2 linked regions of the Alligator mississippiensis genome follow. The protein of the gene in region 2 interacts with the protein of the main gene of each other region in a pairwise test. Links are inferred from orthologs where the notes say so. Each region holds a gene or a part of one and is shown on either strand. Other genes may lie near its edges. The genes, in order: MKLN1 and RANBP9.

Region 1 (10,643 bases), on a different chromosome or scaffold from region 2:
GCCTGGATAGGCACGTTCCTCTGATCTGCTACTCTCAGGAACCCTCTTTTTCTTTTGCTCTTCCCCCTTCTAGGATATCATCTTTTTTTCCCTTACTAATGTCTCTGGAATTTAATTTATGAGGTTCAAGGTCCATTCTCTTCCCTATTTATCTCACTGCATCTCACTGGCCCTGGCCTGAGCCATTTTTCCACTGTCTCCTCCTCTATGTCCCCAGGAGAAACAAACTGCTAACCCACCCCTGCCAGAAAAATCCTTTAAAGATGGTCCAACTTACTAGACCCTCCTATAACTACTCAATACTTACAAATTCTGGAGCCCAAGTAATATGTCAACTAAAATGATGAAAACCAGCATGGTGGGCATCTGAAAATCCTTACGATCACTCTTTTCACTTTTTCTCCACTACCCATGCTGTCTTGTGAGATGACTGAATGGAGTTATTACCTCAGTCCAGAAAATAAGAGGATGCTCTCGACCCAAAAAGGCAAAGATGTATCTGTGTTACTAGCAACAGGAATAAATAACTCTGTAGCATCAGTGGCAAAGTACTGTGCTACCTACGCAATGCAGGAGAGACAGGTTGGATCCCTTCCCGCATGTAGACTGCTGAGCATACCTTTGTGCCACAGCTGCTTTCGACAAACAGGAAGACAAACACCATAAGCTGAAGAAAGAGAGGTATTTGCCTGTTTTATGGACTTTTAAAAAAGCTTGTGACTCACTAGCACCCTAGGCTCAGCTTTTAACGGATGCCAAATGGAATTGTTGGTGAAACACATGATACAATTAAATCTATGCACCAATCAATGGGCTGCAGGATAAAAATAAACCACATGCAAACAGATGCCTTCAAAGAATGAAAAGTGGAATAAGAGAGGGATGCAGAATCACTCCCACCACAAATATTCATCAACTACTTGTGCATTTCCTTTCTCATGTCCTTGTGACGAGGCATTTAGCGGTATTCACCGATTTGTTGGAACCTGACAGGGCTGTGCCATGAGCATTTCTGCTGTGGCCTTCAAATGTGCAACCTCTGGGTTGTCAAACATGTGCCTTAGCACCCACGTGACCCCAGGCCCCCTAACTACTCATGCCAGTCCAACAGATCTCTCTAGGCAGTGACCTCAGAAAGGAAGAAAAAAAGGAAAGAAGAATACTGCAAGATATTGATACTGACTGCAAAATATTAAGAGATAAAATGGCCATAGCTTAGCTGATGTAAATGGACCGAGGAAACATTTCCACTGATATATATATATAAATAGATAGATAAATAGATCTATCTATCTATCCTGTTATATATCAGTTGAGGATTTAGGAGCACAGGAAGGCAGAACCAGAAAGGACCACCTGGGTCAGTGAGTCAAGTCCCCTACAACTGCAGGCTACTGGGCACCTGTATGCAAATGCTTGAATGCCCATTAGCCTATTTTAATGTGCATTAAAGTGTCACAACCCCCCCCCCCCCCCGTACCCTTTTAATGCATGTTAAAATAGGCTAATGCATCCTTTTTCTAGTACAGGGGTGGGCAGTTATTTCATGCAGAGGGCCGCTTACTGAGTTTGGGCAAGCCATCTAGGGGTGCATGACAGGCAGCCAGGGACAGATGAATATTAATTTTCTAAATTTTTTAGGGGCCCCACAGGCTGGATAGAATAGCCTGGTGGGCTGCACCTGCCCGTGGGCCGCATTTTGCCTGCCCCTGTTCTAGTACCTCACAATGGAGGTACTAAATTTAATGTACATTAGCAAAAGCACATTAATGAACGTGTACATGCCAGCTGTATAATAGACATTAGGGTTGGATCACCGAGAACATCTAGGTCAGTCTCTCCTGCATGCCAGGTGCCCCAAAGTACTCCCTAAAAGCCAAAGACTTTAAAAGCTCTGCTACAGCGTGCCAAAGGCAAAGAGCAGAGGACACAAACAGCATTACTTTGGGTCTCTACAAGAGCAGGGAATTTTTTTCCTGAGGTCCCTGTATTAGAGGAAGGTAAAAAAAAAGCCCTCCAGAAGCATCTTCTAAACCTGACCCCAATTCTTTTTCCTAACCCCAAATTGGGCAATCTGTCTGACCTTGATGCAGGAGCAAGACCTGCCGGTCAGGCACAAGGTGTTTCTTGACACCTTCAAGTCCACAATGCAAAATTTCTCCCCATTTAACAGGCCTGATTCACCAAGCAGACACCAGCGGGGTTATTTAAAATCAGGGGTGCCAAACATATATCCCACAGGGCAGACCCAGGTCATGGGGCCACTCTGTCTTGTCCACCGACAGACCACTGGAAGTTGGGGGCTCTGGGCAGGGGGCCTGGCTTAGATTCCAGGGTCCTCTGGCCTTGGTAGACAAGGTGATCAGCGGCAGGAGGGCTAGTGAGGGCTGACAGTTTTGATTGCCCTACAGCTGCCTTGCTTATTGTCATTGAAGTGGCCCTGTCTCCCTGGCTGCCGGCTCCTGCCACTTGCCCCATTTTGGAGCTGCTGCCATTGCATGAAGCGCATGACGGTGGCAGCTCTGGCTCTGACACAGGGCATGCAGTGGGGCTGAAGCTGCTGCCACATGCCCTGGGTTGGAGATGGAGCTACTGTCATGCTGCTGCAAGCTCCTGGTTGCAGCCGGAGCTGCTGCTGCTTCCTCATGCCCTGGGCTGGACCTGGCACAAGGAGTGCCCTATAAGCCACGTCTGGCTCAAGACACAAGATGAGTCTGACACCCCCGTTTTTAGCAGTTTTATGCTCGTTCTGAGATCCTGGGCTATAACTTTTAATGAGTCTAAACTGGAATAGGAGGCAAAATGTATGACATCATTAAATCCATGCTCATCGGCTTCAAGATAAGAACAGATGACATGCAAATGGATGCCTTCAAAGAAGAAAAAGGCAGGAATTAAGCCCTCTATCTGTTCCAAATGATCTAATTATGTATCAGTCTTATTCAGTTCATCCCAAAACCATTATGAGATGAGTCTGAGGTAAGCAGCTATTGTACTCAGATGACCTTGACATGCTGCTGCCCACACAGGATCGCTTTCAGAAAACCCGGCATTTTCTCGCCCTCTATCTCCTCCGGTGCCTCATCTACCCTCCCCTCTATGCTCCTAGCTGTTGCATCCACTTGGAATACATTGCAGCTTAAGGAGACTGGATGATCTAGTGGAGAGACTTTGGACTGGGGCTCGAGAGACTTGGCAAACTTGCAAAACAGGCTTTCATAAGGATAAAGCACACTCCCGATTGTGAAATCCTTGGACACTGCAGTCATGAAGCCACACAGATACCTACAGAGTATGGGGATTTTTGTTAATCCCAGGAGATATTCTGCACACCTAATTCTGTGCACTTTTTAGAAAAGTTGCAGATGACATTAAATAGAGAGCAAATGCAGAGGGTGGGCAGGGCAGAGTAACAGCTCAAAAGATGTTTTAGAAACATGTACAGTCGATCAGATAGTAAGGATTATAAGGTTATACTTGGCTTGGAAAAAGGTAAACTAATGTTTGGGGAGGGCACATCTTTGAAATGCAGATGGACATGGGAAAGCTGGGGGCAGTAATGGTGGAACATATGGTCAGGATGGACAATGTCGGGACGGCAGGGTCATAAGCAAAACAGGCCGTGCCACCGTGACTGCTTATGAATGGACATTGCATTAAAGAGAAGGGAAGCAAAAAAAATCTTTTGTGAAAGGCTGTGTGGTGTGATTGTACCCGACACAATGCACTCAATGCAGGGCAGCGTGTTTCCAGAAAGATACCGAAAACTGGAGAGAATGAAAGAAAAGCAGAGAAAAAGACAAATAAACCTAGAGGAAAACATGCACTGACCTGAGCAAGGCTGGTGAAAACAGGAGTGGAAAGACAGAATTTGATATAAGTGAGCAGAGGAAGGGCTGCGATCAGGACAGGGAAAGAGCAGGCTGAATATCACCCTGCCAGGGAAATGCATCTGGCTGTAAATCCTTACGATCACTCTTTCAACTTTGTCTCCACTACCGATGCTGCCTTGTGAGATGATCGAACGGAGCTATTATCTCCGTCCAGAAAATAAGCCGATGCTCTCAGCCCAAAAAGGCAAAGATTTATCTGCATTACTAGCAACAGGAGTAAATCACTCCGTAGACTCCCAAGGGAAGTGGTGGGAGGTCCCTTGTGTGCAACTCGTAAAAATGTAATTATTTACTTTTATTACTGCTGTGTCGAAAAGCCACAATCACGAGCCAGGGCTCCCAGGTGCTAGGCGCTGTACAAATACACGCCCAAAGAGTGAAAACAGCTGGTTTCAAGCTGCAGCATGGGGGAGAATGATGCACAGGCTAATGACAGATGAACAGGATGGTCTGGCTAGTCTTTCCATCCCGCACGTCCGAAAAGCGAGAGAAAGGGCACCATGCTCCATAGCAGCTGTGAATCAGCAGTGGACGAGGAGGAGGAGGAGCGATCCTGGGGATGGGGAAGGCTCTTTCAATGGTTTTACTTGTTCATCTGCTCCTTCCTGCCCTGGGCTGGGCAGGTCAGCTGAGCTTTCGGCTGACATGCAATCAGACCACAGAGCAGGGGCCAGACCAGGTCTGAGCCAGGCTGTCCCTGTCAGGCTCTCCAAGGCAGACAGGATTTCCGCTCCATCCTTGTCCTGGCACCACCCGGATGCCACAATGAAGTGTCCATGTCTAGCGAGGAGCATAGCTCAGTTGTGTGAGAAGTGAGGACCTTTGTGGGTGGTATCTTTTATTGGACCAGCTATGTGACTGCAAAAGGATCCTGCCCAACAGCCTGGTTGAGAATCACTGTATTAAGTAGCAGCGGACAAACAATGAACAGAAGAAAAGCAGCTGAGGACAAAAACAGACAACTGTTTTGATGCAAATCTTGAAGGAATCGGGCCTGGATCGAACCGTTGTGTCCAGCTGCCCGTCGTGTGCCTTTGGAGGGTGTTGTGTCCATTTCCCTGGAGCGCCGGCATGGTGCGGGCTGTGAACAGGGCGCTCCCGTCGGTGTCTGTGTGTCTCCATCCCGTCTGTTTCTCTTGTAGGACTTTGCTCGGGGGCCTGGCATCTGTCCGGTTTCCCCGGAGGTGTCACGAGGGCACATGGTGCGCTGCATCGCGTCTGGGGAAAGGCCGTGCGTGTGCAGCTCTGTCGCACGGGGCTGCCGTGGCCTGGGCCTCCGGAGCAGCCCCCTCCTGGCGCTGACCTGGCCCCACGCAAGGGACCCGAGCAGGCCGGGCTGGAGGCCTCCGAACCTGCCTCCGATTTGGGGCTGGACTAGATGCCTCGGGAGCCCCGGTGCTGCCCAGTGATGGGGATCGCACCCGAAACCAGGCGCTGGCAGAGCCCGGGGGGGCGGGGGGGGGCAACTGCCCCATCCGCCTGCGTGTGTGGGGGGTCGGGAGGGTCTGTCCCTCGCACGGTCCCGCCTGCCTGGGTGTGTGCGGCGTGTGTTGGGTGTCCATCCGAAGGTCCTGTCCTCTGTGCATGTGTGTGTGCTTGTGTGTTTGTTTGTGGTGAGTGTCTGCGTCTGTGGTGGGTGTGTGTGTCTGACTGTCCTGTGTGTGTGTGTGTCTGACTGGTGTGTGTGTGTGTGTCTGACTGTCCTCTTTCTGTGTGTCTGTGGGGTGTGTCTGACTGGTGTGTGACTGTCCTCTGTGTGTGTGTGTGTGGGGGGGGGGTGTCTGACTGGTGTGTGTGTGTGTGTCTGACTGTGCTCTTTTTGTGAGTCTGTGGGGTGTGTCTGACTGGTGTGTGACTGTCCTCTGTGTGTGTGTGTGTGTCTGTGGGGTGTGTGTGTCTGTGGGGTGTGTCTGACTGGTGTGTGACTGTCCTCTGTGTGTGTGTGTGGGGGGGGGGTGTCTGACTGGTGTGTGTGTGTGTGTGTGTCTGACTGTCCTCTTTTTGTGTGTCTGTGGGGTGTGTCTGACTGGTGTGTGACTGTCTTCTGTGTGTGTGTGTGTGTGTCTGTGGGGTGTGTGTGTCTGTGGGGTGTGTCTGACTGGTGTGTGTGTGCGACTGTCCTCTGTGTGTGTGTGCGACTGGAGGTGTGCGTCTGTCTGACTGTCCTCTGTGTGTGTGTGTGCCTGTCTGTGGGGTGTGTCTGACTGGTGTGTGTGTGTGTGTGTGAGACTGTCCTGTCTGCGTGCGTGTCTGACTGTTGTGTCTGTCTGTGGGGGTGTGGGGGGTGTCTGACTGTCGTGTCTGTGTGTGTCTAACTGTCCTGTCCTGTGTGTGTGTGTGTGTGTCTGACTGTCCTCTGCGTGTGTGTGACTGTTGTGTCTGTCTGTGGTGTGTCTGTCAACTTGTCCTATCCCCGTGTGTGTCTGTAGCCGTGTCTCTCGTGTGTGTGTGAGAGAGACTCCCCGGCCGCGGCCCCTTTAAGAGCCCCCTCCCCCTCCCGTCCCCTCCCCCCGGCGCTGCGGCGCGGACAAGATGGCGGCGGCGGCGGCGGGGGCCGGGTGCGGGGCGGCGGGCCGGGTGCTGTCCTACGCCCTGCACCGCTGGAGCAGCTTCTCCTCCACCTACCTGCCCGAGTGAGTGCGGACCCCGCCCCGCCTCGCCTCGGCCCCGGCCTGGCCCCTCACCTCACCTCACTTCACCTCACCTCACCCCGCCCCGGCCCGGCCCGGCCCGGCCCGGCCCGGGTGCCGGGCCGCGCTCCCCCCCTGCAGGGCCTTGGGGCTGGTCCCGGCCCCGCGCTCGGCCCCCGCCCGGCGCCTGGGGGGGCCGCGATGTCACGGCGGGGGTGATGATGTCACGGCAGTGACGTCACTGCGGCCCCGCGCTCCAGCGGGGACTGGGCCTAGTTGGTGTGGTGTGTGGCGCTGTGCGCGCGTTGCGTTGCGTTGCCGGGTCAACGGGCAGGAAAGCCCACGTGTGCCCCAACCAGCCCCGTCCGCAAGGCCCATGGTCCTCTCCTGTTCGGACTTGGGGGCACGTCGGCTCTCACAGTTTGGTTTTTTTTGGGGGGTTTGCTGGTAAGAAACCAGATGGACACGGCCAAGACCTCAGGAACATCCTATTAGCCACCGCTGGGTTGACCTTTCCGACCCTGGGCCCTTCACAGGACCCGGCTACCAGTTGACACATTTATTATAATTATATGACAACAGATTTGTTACAATTATATGACAGCAATTTGCTGGTGGTCCTTAAGGTTGTATCAGTTTTAAATTGGCGGCACGCAGTCTGTCAGGGTTTGGGAGCCGCGGCCCTCGTGTCTGGCAGAGCCACTTTGCTGGGAAAGACCTTGAATGGTTCTTGCCCCCGTCTTGAAAACTTGTTTGGTTTTTCACAGTGTTTCAGGGAAGAGAGAAAATGTTGTGTGTAGTTCAGTATTGATCTCATTGCCGCTGCGTGCAGAAGTAATAGCTTCTCTCTCTTTCCCATCCAAAGAGACCATTAGTCCTTTTTTGCCTCAGCCTCTCATCAGCAGGGATCCTGGATTTCTCTGACTTTTACCAAAAAAAAATCCCCAATTTTTCAGATTTAAAAAAAAAAAAAAAAAGTAACCCAAAATCCACATTTTGGAGTGATTTTTTTTAAAATGAATCTCTATCTCCAGTAGTGTTTTGGTTTAATTGCACACACATGTGGATTTTGGGTTACTTTTTTAATCTGAAAATTGTGGAGATGTAAATAAATATATATATCTTCACAATTTTTATTTTATTTATATATCTATATAGATATAAAATAAAATTTTTTTTTTCCCTTAATCAGAGAAAACCAGGATCCCTGCTGATCAGTACCTTGTGTTCAGCTGGTTATCCTGGAGGCTGTCCCGAGTCCCCGCTTTCCAGGACACGGCCCCCTTGTAAATGTGGCTGCTGTTTGTAGGTGTCTGACCTCTTGCTGACCGTATTAAAATGTGTGTTTCGTTGAGCTTTCTCTGTATTAGCGACCCGTTGTTTGAGTTAGTTTTCACCTTGCTGACCTTCTGACAAAGTTGCTACCGTAATATATGTACTTTCTTCCAGATCTTTGATAAACACCTTGGAAATCAGGTTTGGCCTGAGTGATCCTTGTGTTAAGGAGCTGTCACTTTGCTTCCTACTAACTGCTTCCCTACTGCTGTGTTTGAGAGAGCTTAAATATGAAACGCACCTGGAAAAGGAAAGAGGAAGTCTTGTCCCTTTGCTCCAGGCTGATTTGTTTTGCCTCCCTTGAAGCAGACGTGTAGGTGGATCCTCTTGGTGTGGAGATGATTGATACTTATGGGATATTTACTATTGTTAAAAATGGGCTTGGTCTCCAGTATTGACAAAAGGAAAAAAAAAATGTTTTCCTGAAATATTGCTGCAAACCATGGTTAAAACATGGTTCAGTTTTACCTGACTAGGAAAACTGAATTATTTGAATGTAGCTGGGAAGAGTGTGCCAGTGTTAATAGCGGGAATCAATACTGTCTGCTGTTTCACCAGGATTGACCTTGGGCCACGTCAGCTGCGAGCAGATCGGTGCCTGCCACAGCTCTGTTGTTGCTAGACAAATATTAGTAGGGACTAAGATTTCCCCCCCCCCCCCCCCCCCCCCCCCCCCCATCCTTTCTCCTTGAATTGTACTGTCAAATAGTGCTTTAGATAATTGCCTTAAGTGAGCAAAAACACATTCCCTCTCTCATAGATTTCATAGACATTAGGGCTGGAAGGGATCTCATAAGATCATCCGGTCCAGCCCCCTGCCCAAAGGATCCCAGCAAGAAAAATGTCCAAATGTTTCTTGACAGTGGCCAGAGCAGGTGCTTGCACCACCTCTGCGGGGAGTTTGTTCCAGGCTGTGGGGGCTTGGACAGTAAAGCAGTTTTTCCTTATGTCCAGCCTAAAATGGTCTTGCAGGAGTTTGTGACCATTGGACCTTGTCATTCCCTGGGGTGCTCTGGTGAACAGGCGTTCCCCAAGATCCTGATGCACACCCCTGATGTACTTATAGGCTGCCACCAAGTCACCCTTGAGCCTGCGCTTCTCCAGGCTGAAGTCCCATTGCTCGCAGTCTGTTCTCTTGCTCTCTGATCATGCGCGTGGCTCTCCCCTGAACTCTTTCAAGCTTCTCTGTATCCTTCCTAAATTGTGGAGCCTGAAATTGGATGCAGTACTCCAGCTGCAGCCTCACCAAGGCCAAGTACAGTGGGAGGATGACATCCTGGGTCTTGCTTGAGGTGCATTGGTAGATGTAAGCCAGAGTTTTGTTCATTGTGCCAGATGTGGTATTGCATCGATAGCTCATGTTCATCTTGTGGTCAATCATGACCCCCAAGCCTCTTCCAGTCATGATGCTAGCGAGTGTAGCATTGTGGAGCCTATGAGTGTGATGCAGCTTTTTATTCCTGAGGAGGAGCATCTTGCATTTCTCCATATTGAATGCCATCAAGTTTTCATCTGCCCATCTTGCAAGCCTATTGAGATCAGCTTGGATCTCCCTGCTCCTTCCCCTCTTCTTCCCGTCCCTGTCCCCTCACACTTAGATGCACTGGTTGAGGTGAGATTTACTAATGTATTGGCTATTCTTGAATCTGAGTTTTGACCCATTTTTAAAAATGGTTTTAGCTGTAGTTGTATTGGTAGAGTATTTCCCAGTCAGCTGCAGGACATTTCCTGCATCTTAAACACTTCCTAAATTTCTCAACAGTCAAATATAGCTAACAATATTCAGGTCAGTGAATATAAATGCCCTTGTGGACAAGTTCAAACCATGTCTCAGACTGTTGACTTGGGTCCATTTACAAGGCTACATGGTGGTCTTCAAGCTCTTCACATTGGTGATAACATGGCCTGAAGATAGCTTAAACCATGTGCTTAAACAACATACGCTAAATAAAAAAATCATAATTTTGCATAACATATCACAACTATCACTGCATTGTAATGGCCTTTGCTAGCACCAAGCTGAGTTTAGCATTAAATTCTGAAAACTTACCTAAGGTGCAGTGATGATACCTTTATTAGACCAATTAAAAATTGCACAAAAATTATTTTTCTTTTTTGCAATTTCTTAGTTGGTTTAATAAAAGGTATCATCTCTGAACCAAGAGTCCTAGAGTTTTGCACTTCTTGTTGTATCAGACAACATGGCTACTAAGTACAACATCCCTTAAAGTACAGTTGCACTTATGTGTATATAAACGGTAGAAAAGGGACTGATTTTGATTATGTTCATTTGATGTCATCTGCTAGTAGGGTTGTCTTTTTCTAGCCTGTAACAGCTTCACTGTCAAAGCTTAGTTGTGATTTTGTGGTTCTTAAATTGCTTGAGAGATATATCTAGATATATATAGATAGATATCCAAGGTAAATAGATATTTATAAGGTAAAAGATGCCTTGGATTGGACTTTCATCTCTTGTTCCCTGGGCCAACATAAACTGGCATTACCAAAGAGTTGGCAGGCTCAAGCCCTGGGAACAAAGGGCTTTCTCATGTGCTAACATCCTTTAATTGAGTCTTTCACGCCTAAGATCTATTTTGGTGATAAAAATGGAAAATCCTCTCCTTAGAAGTTTCATGAAAGATATAAAGTAAAACTCAAGATTCACTTTATAATAGAAAGCTCTCTACTTACAAAAGTTTATGCTGTACATCTCTGATTTAGTTCGTCCTTAAAGATGCAAATGTACCCTGCCTTCTGCATCACATGGTGTGTGTAAAAATCCTTA
Region 2 (10,466 bases):
TAAAGATCTCTTTTCTAACCTATAAGGTAGCCTCTAATTTTAAAAATATGCTTATTCTAGATGGTCTGTAGTTACTACTTTGATAGTAAATTCAAAATGCAAGAAATGCAGTCAGTTGGATCTTAAGCATTGCAAGGAGCACCCCATAAAGCCTCCCAACATTTTTCTCTACGTTACCTGAAATAGAAGTTTTCAATAGTAAGACTTTTACAGAGTTTAAGATATAGTCTATAATAGGATGACAATTTTTAAAGTGTGTGAAAGATTAAAGACTAAAAGCCTTTTTTCATCATTAAAAAAGTGTTCTGCAAGAGTCTTACACAGCAATTTCCACTACCTTCCTGTAAATTTTAATTTTACTTCGAAGTCTTTATAAAAACCTGCAATCACTTTGATCAAAGAACTGAGACTAACTCACTTTATAAATAAAAAGTTATTTTAACAGCTGTTAGTGATATTAATTAACTTTTATTAAAAAAATATATCATAAGGTCTTTAGAAACAGAAATTTCCCTCTGAAATTAAATTAGTATTAAAAATAAGCTAAATTTAAACAACATACACTTGAAATAACCAGCTAAAACAGAGATAAGGTAGTGATAATCACAGAAATTATTTTAGTTTTTAAAACCTAATATTAAGGCCCAATGCTATAAACATATAAATGAGTAACTCCATAAACATTAACTAACCTTACTTAAGTCAAAGGGATCTCCTTGGCAAAATTACTGGGATGTATGATCCTGTGTTAGACAAGGTTCCTTGGGTGAATTTGATATCTTTTATTAGACCAACCCAAATGGTTGGAGAATAGTTATTAAGCAAGCTTTCGGGTTCATCCTATGATCCTATGTTATTAATTTGTAAATACATACTTTAGGTAAATATAGTTTAAAATGACTAATGTTATTGGGAAACTGCAGGAATCGGCTAAAAAAATTGAACAGAAACTTAAGTGGATACAGGGGAAAGGTTTTACTCAGACTAAAAATATCAAGACCTGTAAGCAGTTACTCAGTGACTTCAATTTCTGTGATTGCTTTAACTGTACAAAATAGGCCTCTGTATTGCTGCCTTGGCTATATTTGGTACAGTAAAGTAGATCCATCTCGGTTTCTCCAAAATGTTACTGAATGAATTTAAAATGCTCTTGATAAGCTCATATAGGATTATTTCCATCAGAACCCTGTTTTGTCTACTAGACAAATGTGAAGAAGCACCTAGAAGTGGAGATAAAACTAGAAGATTTTTTTAACCCGACATTGGAAGCCACTCAGAAATACCTGTATTTACGGGGGAGGGAAGGGGGGGGATCCCAGCAAAGTCCATTTATTCAAAAATTGTATAAGACTTTTTTGTCTGACATGATGACAGAAGCAAGAGTTCTTTGGCAGTATCTTTACTGGAGAAACTATGTAATTGGGAGAGAGGCAAGACAAGATTTCAGGCACAAAGCACCCAAATAAAGCAGTAGATTCAAATTATTAAGCGATTGGAAAAAACAAAGAACAGGCTACAAACTGAGAAGCAGCTCTTTTGTACAGTAATGTTACAGAAGTATATTAGGATTTCAAGATATTGCATTTCCTTGATTGGGTGGGCAAAATACAGTCTGCAAACTGCATAGTGACATGCATACACATCCACGCATATACACACACGTACGTGTGCATATATATGTGTGCGCACGTGCCTGTGTGCACATGTCTGTATGTCAGCATGCAGTTTGAGGACTGTACATACATACATTTTTTTTTTTTGGATGGTTCACTCAAGTGGTTGCTACCTTTAACTCCAATATGTTGTCAGAAAGACAAACTTAGGACATTTAACTACAGTGGAAGTAAAAAGAAGAAAAAAGGTGGAATGGAAAGGGGAAACAAGCTAGGAAAAAAAAGCACTGATGTTACCAGAAACAGCACTTCCTGTCAGTCACAGATAGGGAGCAACTACCTCCAAAAAAAGCCATTTCTATTATCAGAATGTTGCACGAGCAAAGGAAGCCTGAATAAATGCATCCAAGAATCAACAAGACTAATGGAGTCATTGCTTTTAACATTACCCACTTCTTGACTGGATCTATTTTTCAAGGATGCTGGTGGAAGATCCCACAGATTTCCACCAACAACCCACACATTTGTTTCAAAATCTTTATCAAAAGCAATGCCAATTCCGGTTCTTTTCCTACTGCCCAGATAGCCACAGATGTATTGCCAGTTCCAGCACTTTACAAAATCAGAGAGATTCTGAAAGTTTTCTTCCTGAAGCTGCAGCAGTACCTATCTCCATTAAGATTCAGGATAAAAGGGGAGAAAAGTTCAATTTTTAAGGAGCCATTCACTGCTTTAAACAACAGCATGTTTGCAGTTAGAAGAGGGGCTACCCTTCTAAGACCACCTTTTCTGATCCACATACCTATGTGTTAGTCTGGTAATCTCCAAGTTGACTTACTAAAGAACTAGCCAACATTCCCCCTACATTCTTATTAGGTGAGGCTCCCTTTAGTTGTCACTAATTACTTAAGTGTCCCAGCTTACATAATGTATTTCTATGGCCTCGATCTCTGTAGGCAGTGAACATGTCGGGTAGTCAGCATAGCCAATGTTTAACATTCATTCATAATTTCTTCAAAGAAATTGCAACAAGATGCAGCAATATGGTTTTAACTTTTAGAGACGGGGGGGAGATGACAGGTAAAGCAAGAAAGAAAAAAAAAATCATAAAAATGTACTTTTGTAGGAAGCCAACAGACCAGAACGATTCCTTATTTATTTGTTTTTAGCTCACCATTTTAGAAAATCACAGCAAAACAAGTGAGCAAACTTGGCAGAAAGCTACATGCACGTGATGAAAAACTTAACAGTCAAACTAGATCAACTATAATACACTTCTAAAAATCCCCAGGTCATAAATACCTGAAAAGAAGTCAGGAAATTCAAAGTTTAATATTACACAACATATCTTTCCTTCTTAGGGTCCTCCAGAAGGCCATAATAAGTCATCAACTCTGAATTTACTAGCTTTGCAAGTCTGCAACTTAAATATTATTTGAATGAAGTATTTCATACAATACACACTAGGCCCTGCCTCTTGTAGAATACCTTGCAAAGTACATCAAATCCTTTTACAGCGGCCAAATCCTACCATTTGTATGTTTGTGTTGCCATTTTCCTCCTCTTTGATTAAACAGTAACATGTTTATCAAGATTTCACTTCAATTTCACTACTGTAAACTTAGAGAAAGGGTAATCACAAGGGTTTTCCCCTTCTTCTACATTCGTTTGACTACACTGTGACCAAAGACCTCCCCTTGAAGCCAACTCAGAAGTTGTTTTGATCCGAAGCACTCGGGACTTGGGCCTAGAATACCAGATGTGAGTCTGCGTGCCTGCGTGCGCCCTTTTTTAATAGGTCAGGGTAAACTCATACCCTTATGGCTTCTATGACATGTTCACAACAACCAACACTTACAGCCTCTATTGTTGCTGCCCTACACGAGTATAATATTTTATACCTTTGCTGCTGCCAATTTGACAAGCAAGTCACGGGAAACCACAGCATGAACTGTAATATTCCTTGCTTTACGTCTTAAATCCTAATCTTCCCACTCAAGACCCCTCAGAGGCCTACCCCTGGCTGGATGCCCGGGGGGGGGGGGGGGGGTGCAGGGGGACGGACAGACAGACTCCCTCCCTGCCCCCCCCACTTTTTTTTTTTTTTTTTGCTCTCCTACACACAGAGATGCACCCTCCCTGTGCCTGGCTCCGCAGCATTTCCAGGGGCCTGATCTCACCCATGTCCTCGCTCTCTTCCTAGACAAAAAAAAAGAACGTTTCTGCTTCTGAATTGCTCAGTCTCCTTTCTTCTCCCTCCAGAACCCTTTGCTTAACACAGGCCATTTCTGACTCTTCTACCTTCCCTCTTCTCCTCCCAGGATCTCATGCAGCAAGTGAGTGGGGGGGGGGGGGGGGGGGGGGGGGGAAATGAACTTGAATCACACCCCCCACCCCACTCACACCCATGTAAACTCCTGAGGGGGTGGAATCCCAAGAAGAGCAGACAGGCCTGGCTTCCTGTTATTGTTGTAGTGCTGCTGCCTTCCCTCCCTTCCCCCTACACCCTGGGGGGGGACCCTTCCCACCCCAGAGCAAGGGGCAGTGAGGGAGGGGGAAGGATAGGAAGAGGGGTGCTGGGGGGGTGAGATGGGGGCTGACCAGGGGGAGGGAGATGGGTGCCAAGATGGGAGATAACTGGGAGGGAGGAATGGGTACTGACGGGGAAGAGTAGTGCAGACCAGGTTGGGGGGTGAGATAGGTGCTGATCAGGAGGGGGGTTGCTGATCAGGTCAGGAGGGTGAGATGGGTGCTAATGGAGGGGTTGGGGGGGATGGGGAGGGCTCTGACGGTGAACTGGGGGGTGGGGGAGGGGAGAAGGGGGTGCGGGGCGTGGGGGAGGGGCGCTGACCCTTGTAGTGGACGCGCAGGTTGTTTTGCGAGAGGCCGATGTAGCTGAACTTGTCCTTGGGGCTCCAGGAGCGCGGCAGCGGCGTCTCGCGCTCGTCCACGGCCGGGTAGAGCCGGCGCAGCCGCCGCTTCAGCTCCTTGTCCTGCTCGTTGAGGGCCGCATCGCCGTGCGGGAAGGGCGCCGCCGCGCTGCTCCCCCCCGGCCCGGCCCCGGGCCCCGGCGCGGCGGTGGCTGCAGGCGGCGGCGGGGGCGGCGGCGGCGGGGCCGGGGCGGCGGTGGCGGGCGGCGGCGGTGGTGGCGGGTGCAGGAGCAGCGCGGCGGCCGGGGCCTGCGCGGGGCCGGCGAGGGCCGGGGCCTGCGGGACCTGCTGCTGCCCGGACATCCCAGCCGGGTCTGGGCCGCTGGCTGCGCGGGGCGGGGCGGGGGGCGATGGTTGCAGCCGCGCTCTGACGCGGGGAGGGGGAGGGGCACCGCGGTGCGTCCCGGCTCAGCTGAGCCGCTTCCTGCGGGGGTAGGGGGCGGGGCTTCCGCCGGTGACGTCCGAGGTGTGCGCGAGACTCGGCCCCTCCCCACCCGGCGGGAGGGGTGTGGCTTCCGCTCCTAAGGAGGCTACGGCGTGACCGCGAAACCAGGCGCGAGGCTGCGGCCCCGCCCCCCTGCACTGGGGTCCCCTCTCCTTCTCTCCACACGTACATGGGGAGACACTGGAGGGCTTCTCACTGCCCTGCAGGGAGAGGCGCTTGACCTTCAGGAGGCAACAAGCCCACTCCTAGTCCTAGCCAGGGTTTGGACTACATGGGGCGGGCAATTATTTTGGGCGGAGGGCCGCTTATGGACTTTCCACAAGCCATCGAGGACCGCATGACAGGCAGCCAGGGGCAAATAAATATTAATTTTCTCCATTTTTTAGGGGCCCTGGGGGCCAGATAGAATGGCCTGGCAGGCCACATCTGGCCCACGGGACGCATTTTGACCACCCCTGGATTACACTTTGCCTCAGGGATCTGCACAAAAAATTGGGCTGCCCATCATGATGCCTGAATAAAATCAAAGACACCCCACCCGTTACGATTTTCAAATCTTACAGGGGGGCTCTTGTCTCTTATCTCCCCATAAGACAAGAGCCCCCCTCTAAGATCTGAACATCATAACCTGTGGGGACTCTGATTTTATTAGGCTCAATGCCCCCCCCTTCCGTTCCCCCATCATTTGAACCCTGGCACCTAGGAGAGCTCCTGCCTCCTCTGGACACCTGGAGGTAGCCATTTCCAACCAGGGTGCTGCAGCAAGGTGCCCCACTGCATAGGCTGCGGAACGGGTGGGCCACCAGGGTCATGGCCCGACCAACTTCTAGCATATTAATTTATATAACCCACAAATGCCCAATTGTCATTCCGCTTAAAACTGTATAGCTATTTTTTTTAACTGCATAGCTAGCTAAATTAATGTGCTAAAAGTTGGTTGGGCCATGGCCTGGGTGGTCCACCCATTCCACAGCCAATGCCCCACCACGCCAGCCCTGGTGCACTGGTGGACAGGATTGGCAAGATCAGAGCGCAGGTTTCAAATGGGATTCTGTGGTTCCTGGAGACGCCCGTAATCCCGAGTTCTTTGCCACAGAAAAACAGCCGTGTTATGTTTCTGTAGTCAGGGTGGGAAAAAAGAGTGAAAATGAAGAATGGGCATTTTTCCAGAGGTGCCTCGCATCTCGCCAGGGGGTGCCTTGAAGTCTAAAAAGATGGAGCAGCGCTGCTCTAAGGTGCCACCCTGCCCTGCCTGCTGTCTGACTTCAGACTCAGTCACCTCCCCACCACCTCTGTCTGGGCCTGGGCCAGGGGTGGATCTAGAATTTTGGAAAGGGGGGTGCAGGTGGTGAGGTACATCGTCATGTGTAAAACAACACATATATTTCTCCAGTTAAACTAGAATCTTTTCTAATCCCCTAGGGCAGGGGTTGGCAACCCCCGGTATAGGTGCCAGAGTGTGGCACTCAAAGGCATTTTGCTTTGCACTCCTGCCTTGGGTTGAACAGCAGGGAAGGGGTCGGGCCTGTGCTGCCATAACAAGAATTGGGCCACTTATGGCTCCCCCATTGTCTGCCCTGGCACACAAACATCTTACAAATTGAGGTTGCAGATGTTTTCGGCACTCTGCCCAAAAATGTTGCTGACCCCTGCCCTAGGGGCCTACAGCTATATGACTGAATTTAAGATAGAAGCAAAAACCAGCTTCATTGGAATAATTTTAAAACAGTGTGCAGTGCTGTGAAATAGGAGCTTCATGAGCAGGAGCTGTGAACACACAGCAGAACTGCAGAACAAAGGCGAGCTTGAGTGGTAGAATATCAAGACAATTAAAAAGAAGAAACAGTCATTAACACCTGTGCAATGTAGAGTTTAAAAGGGATCAGGTAGATGATAATGAGCCATGAAGTCAAGTGACTTCCTCATTACTGCCTGACTAGAAATGCTGCTGCCAGGCACAGGTTTTAAGGTTTGGATGGATTAGGAATCAAAGGGGCGTGCAATTGCATCAGTGCCTCCCCTGTGAATGCACATCTGCCTTGAAGTCTAAAGCAGGGGAGAACCACTGCTCTGAAGTGCCACCCTGCACTATCTGCTGCTTGACTTCATTGCTGTGCAGAAAAGGACCTGGGGCTTGCAGTGGACAATAAACTGAATATGAGCCAACAGCGTGACCTTGTTGCAAAGAAGGCTAATGGCATACTGGACTGCATTAATAGGAGCATTGCCAGCAGATCAAGGGAAATTCTTCCTCTGTATTTGGAACTGGCAAGGTCACATCTGAAGTACTATGTCCAGTTCTGGGCCCCCCACTACAGAAAGGATGTGAATAAATTGGAGAGAGTCCAGTACAGGGCAACAAAAATGGTGAGGGGGCTGGGGGGACATGAGTTCTGAGGAAAGGCTGAAAGAACTGGGCTCCTTTAGTCTGGAGGAGAGAATACTGAGAGGGGATTTTATAACAGCTTTCAACTACCTGAAGGGGGGTGTCCAAAGAGGATGGAGCTAGACTGTTTTCAGTGGTGACAGATGACAGAACAAGGAGTAATGGTCTCAAGTTGCAGTAAGGGAAATTTAATTTAGATATTAGGGAACACCTTCTCACTAGGATAGGAGTAAAGCACTGGAACAAGCCACCCAGACAGGTTGTGGAATCTTCATCCTTGGAGGTTTTTAAGACCCAGCTAGACATAGACTTGGCTGGGATTATATAGCTAGGGATAGTCCTTCTTTGAGCAGGTGGTTGAACTAAACGACCTCCTGAGATCCCTCTTGACCCTTCCAACCACTTCCCTATAATTCTATGATTCAGACTAAGACAGCTCCCCACAGAGGGGCCTGAGCATTTTCAGATGTGGTCTCAAAGGGCTGCTATATCTGACAAATTAAACAGCTTCTCTTCTATTTTATTTAATCCACAGTTATTCCAAAGAACATTTCAGACTGTAGGGTTTTGAAAGGAGGAGTCCTTCCAAAGTGTAGTCCTTCCTGGTGGTGACAAAGCACCCCGCAGAGCTGGTTCTCCTTCTCCCTGTTCCCAGCTGCTAAAATTCAGTACGAGACAGATACAGATATATCACATGCACTCCTACTTTTATGCACATGGTTCCCGAGCAGTTGGAACTGGGAAGTAGGAGCCCTAGAAGCAAATCATTATGATTTCACTGAACTAAGTGGCATATGGTGTAATAAAGGTGTGATATTCAAAAATGCTAGCGAGATTGAACAGGATTTCTTGTAGTCATGAGACATGGGTCAGGGTTACTGTTTTGCCCTGACACATGGGAGTAAGTTCCTCCTCCTCCTCATCTTCTTCTTCTTCTTCTTCTTTTTCTTCTTCTTCTCTGGAAATCAAATATAGATCTCTCTCCTGGGCACCAGTTGGCAGCAACAAGTGCCAGGTTCAAATGTCATTGCTCCCTGGGAAGCTGTAAGACACTGATCACCACTTCCTGTGGAGAGGGTGTGACGAGGTGCCTGCAGCTTCAGTCAGCATACTGCACCCCCACAATTCTTAGTCCTAATCACACAGCTCTGCTGGGGCAGCAACCTGCAAAAGAACTCAAAGAGGAGCCAGGCCCATGGGCGTCTGGTGCTGCCTTAGTCAAGGGGGGCATGTGCAAGTAGTCCCGCTGACTGGGTGGAGGCCCCCCCCCCCACGGCTGATCTCACTGCCCGGGCTGGGGGAGTCCCCCCATGGCCAATCCCATGAAGGCTGATCGCTTCAGCCGCTTCCAGGAGTGGCTGCGGCCACTTCTGGGAGCAGCTGCAGTGATCGGCTGGCACTTGCGGGGGGGGGGGGGGGGGAAGGAGTGGGGGAGGGGGCACTGGTGCTCCCGTCTGCCCCCATGCCCATCACCTAAGCAGTGAGCGTGACTGAACAGGGGGTGCACCAGTGCTCTTAGGGGGTGCACATCCATCCCTGTGCACCTCCCTATGCATCACCACTGGTCTAATATGTTCTTAAGGATGGGGATTCCACAGTCTCAGTAGTATATTCCAGTGCTTAACCCCTCTCACAGTTAGAGAGTTGCTGTTACTATCTGTAATGGTAGATTTGTACTTTATAGACTAAATTTGAGATTTGTAAGCTTTCATAAGCATCAGTTTACTTCACCCCTGTGCACCCCCTATGCATTGCCACTGGCCAGGCCTATCCTGCATCGGGGCCTGGACTACAGCTGGTCCCAGCCACACAGCTTAGCTGGGACAAAGAAGCTGCAAAAGCAACAAAAGAACCAGGCTTCAACTCTGACCAAAAACTGCCAGGCTCCAATCCTGGTCAGTTTGCTCCAGGGATTAATACCTCCATGGTATTATCTCACTCAAAACCCAGAAGGAAAAAGGGGGAGGGAAGAAGGAAAGAAGAGCCCCAAACACTAAGACAGATGCTCTCTCCCTTTATCTGAGGTTTCCCCTTCAAATTGCTTCAGCTTGCTTCTCCAGTGAAAGGGAGGGAGACCCTCCCCATGAGGAGCCGTTCTCCTGAGCTTGCATTCAGCTCTGCAGCCTTGCAGCTAGCTGCCTAGCTGAAAGATTGCTATATACCTTGGCATGACATCACCCCAAGTATCCTAATCAGGGTTTGCCATGCTTCCAGCCTCTTTCTTGAGCAATTAATTTAAGAAAAAGAACACTGTCCAGTCTAGCCAATCAGGCTAGGGATCTGATTTTCAAGCTGTACTTGAGGAAGACCAGGCTTTCTGGTCTCAGCATGGGGGGAAGCAGGGGGTCCTAAACCAAAAGGCCACAGATACCAGGACACTGCAGGGGGCTTACCTGTCAACCTCCCCAGACAGCATTCTTCTCCACAGAACACCAAGCAGAGGAGAGGAGACAAGATACAGCAAATACAGAAATCATATACCATGAATGGCACATGGCTCCGGTGGCTGGGGGGCATGGCTGTGCTGGCGATGGTGGAAGCTTGGTGATGGAAGCCTGGCAGCGGTGAGTGGGGAGCCTTTTTGCAGAGGATATACTGCCACATGTACCCCCTACGTGTCGCCCCTGAATAGAGCAAAGCAGACACATATTAAACATGATCATATTCAAGCTAAAGCATACTTTGCAGTACAAAACAATATGCATAGCAACGTGAAACCAAAACACACTTTGCAGTACAAAATTGCTTGTACGTTTTGTGTGTTACATAGTATTGAATTTAAAGGGGAGAAGTGGAGGGGGGGGGGAGGGGGGCAGCTGCAAAGCCTAAGGCAATTAAGTCCTAATAGAAGAGAGAGATCATAAGAAATACCGTGCTGGATGACATCCAAGGTCTGCACAACCAATATCTTTTGACAGTGTTACGGACAGATGTTATGACCCCCATGTTGACCCAAGGCCCCTAAATATTAGGTCCCATCCCACATATGCAAATATTTAAGATGCTGCCATGCAATTGACTTATCTAAAGGTATAGTGTTCTTTGTATTAATCACTCTCCCATATGATCTTATTTGGGGTTTTTTTTGGGGG

What was found.
Region 1: the proteins of RANBP9 (region 2) and MKLN1 interact in a two-hybrid assay, tested with the Homo sapiens proteins (2 studies listed by BioGRID). The link is inferred for Alligator mississippiensis from reciprocal best matches to the Homo sapiens genes RANBP9 and MKLN1.

The regions. Positions count from the first base shown.
Region 1 is NC_081827.1:8,994,707-9,005,349, reverse strand, and holds the start of MKLN1 (muskelin), read left to right. Parts: upstream 1-6,410; 5' UTR 6,411-6,425; coding exon 6,426-6,526; intron 6,527-10,643. UniProt on the Homo sapiens protein: Component of the CTLH E3 ubiquitin-protein ligase complex that selectively accepts ubiquitin from UBE2H and mediates ubiquitination and subsequent proteasomal degradation of the transcription factor HBP1.
Region 2 is NC_081826.1:127,913,506-127,923,971, forward strand, and holds the start of RANBP9 (ran-binding protein 9), read right to left. Parts: upstream 4,921-10,466; 5' UTR 4,847-4,920; coding exon 4,465-4,846; intron 1-4,464. UniProt on the Homo sapiens protein: May act as scaffolding protein, and as adapter protein to couple membrane receptors to intracellular signaling pathways. Acts as a mediator of cell spreading and actin cytoskeleton rearrangement.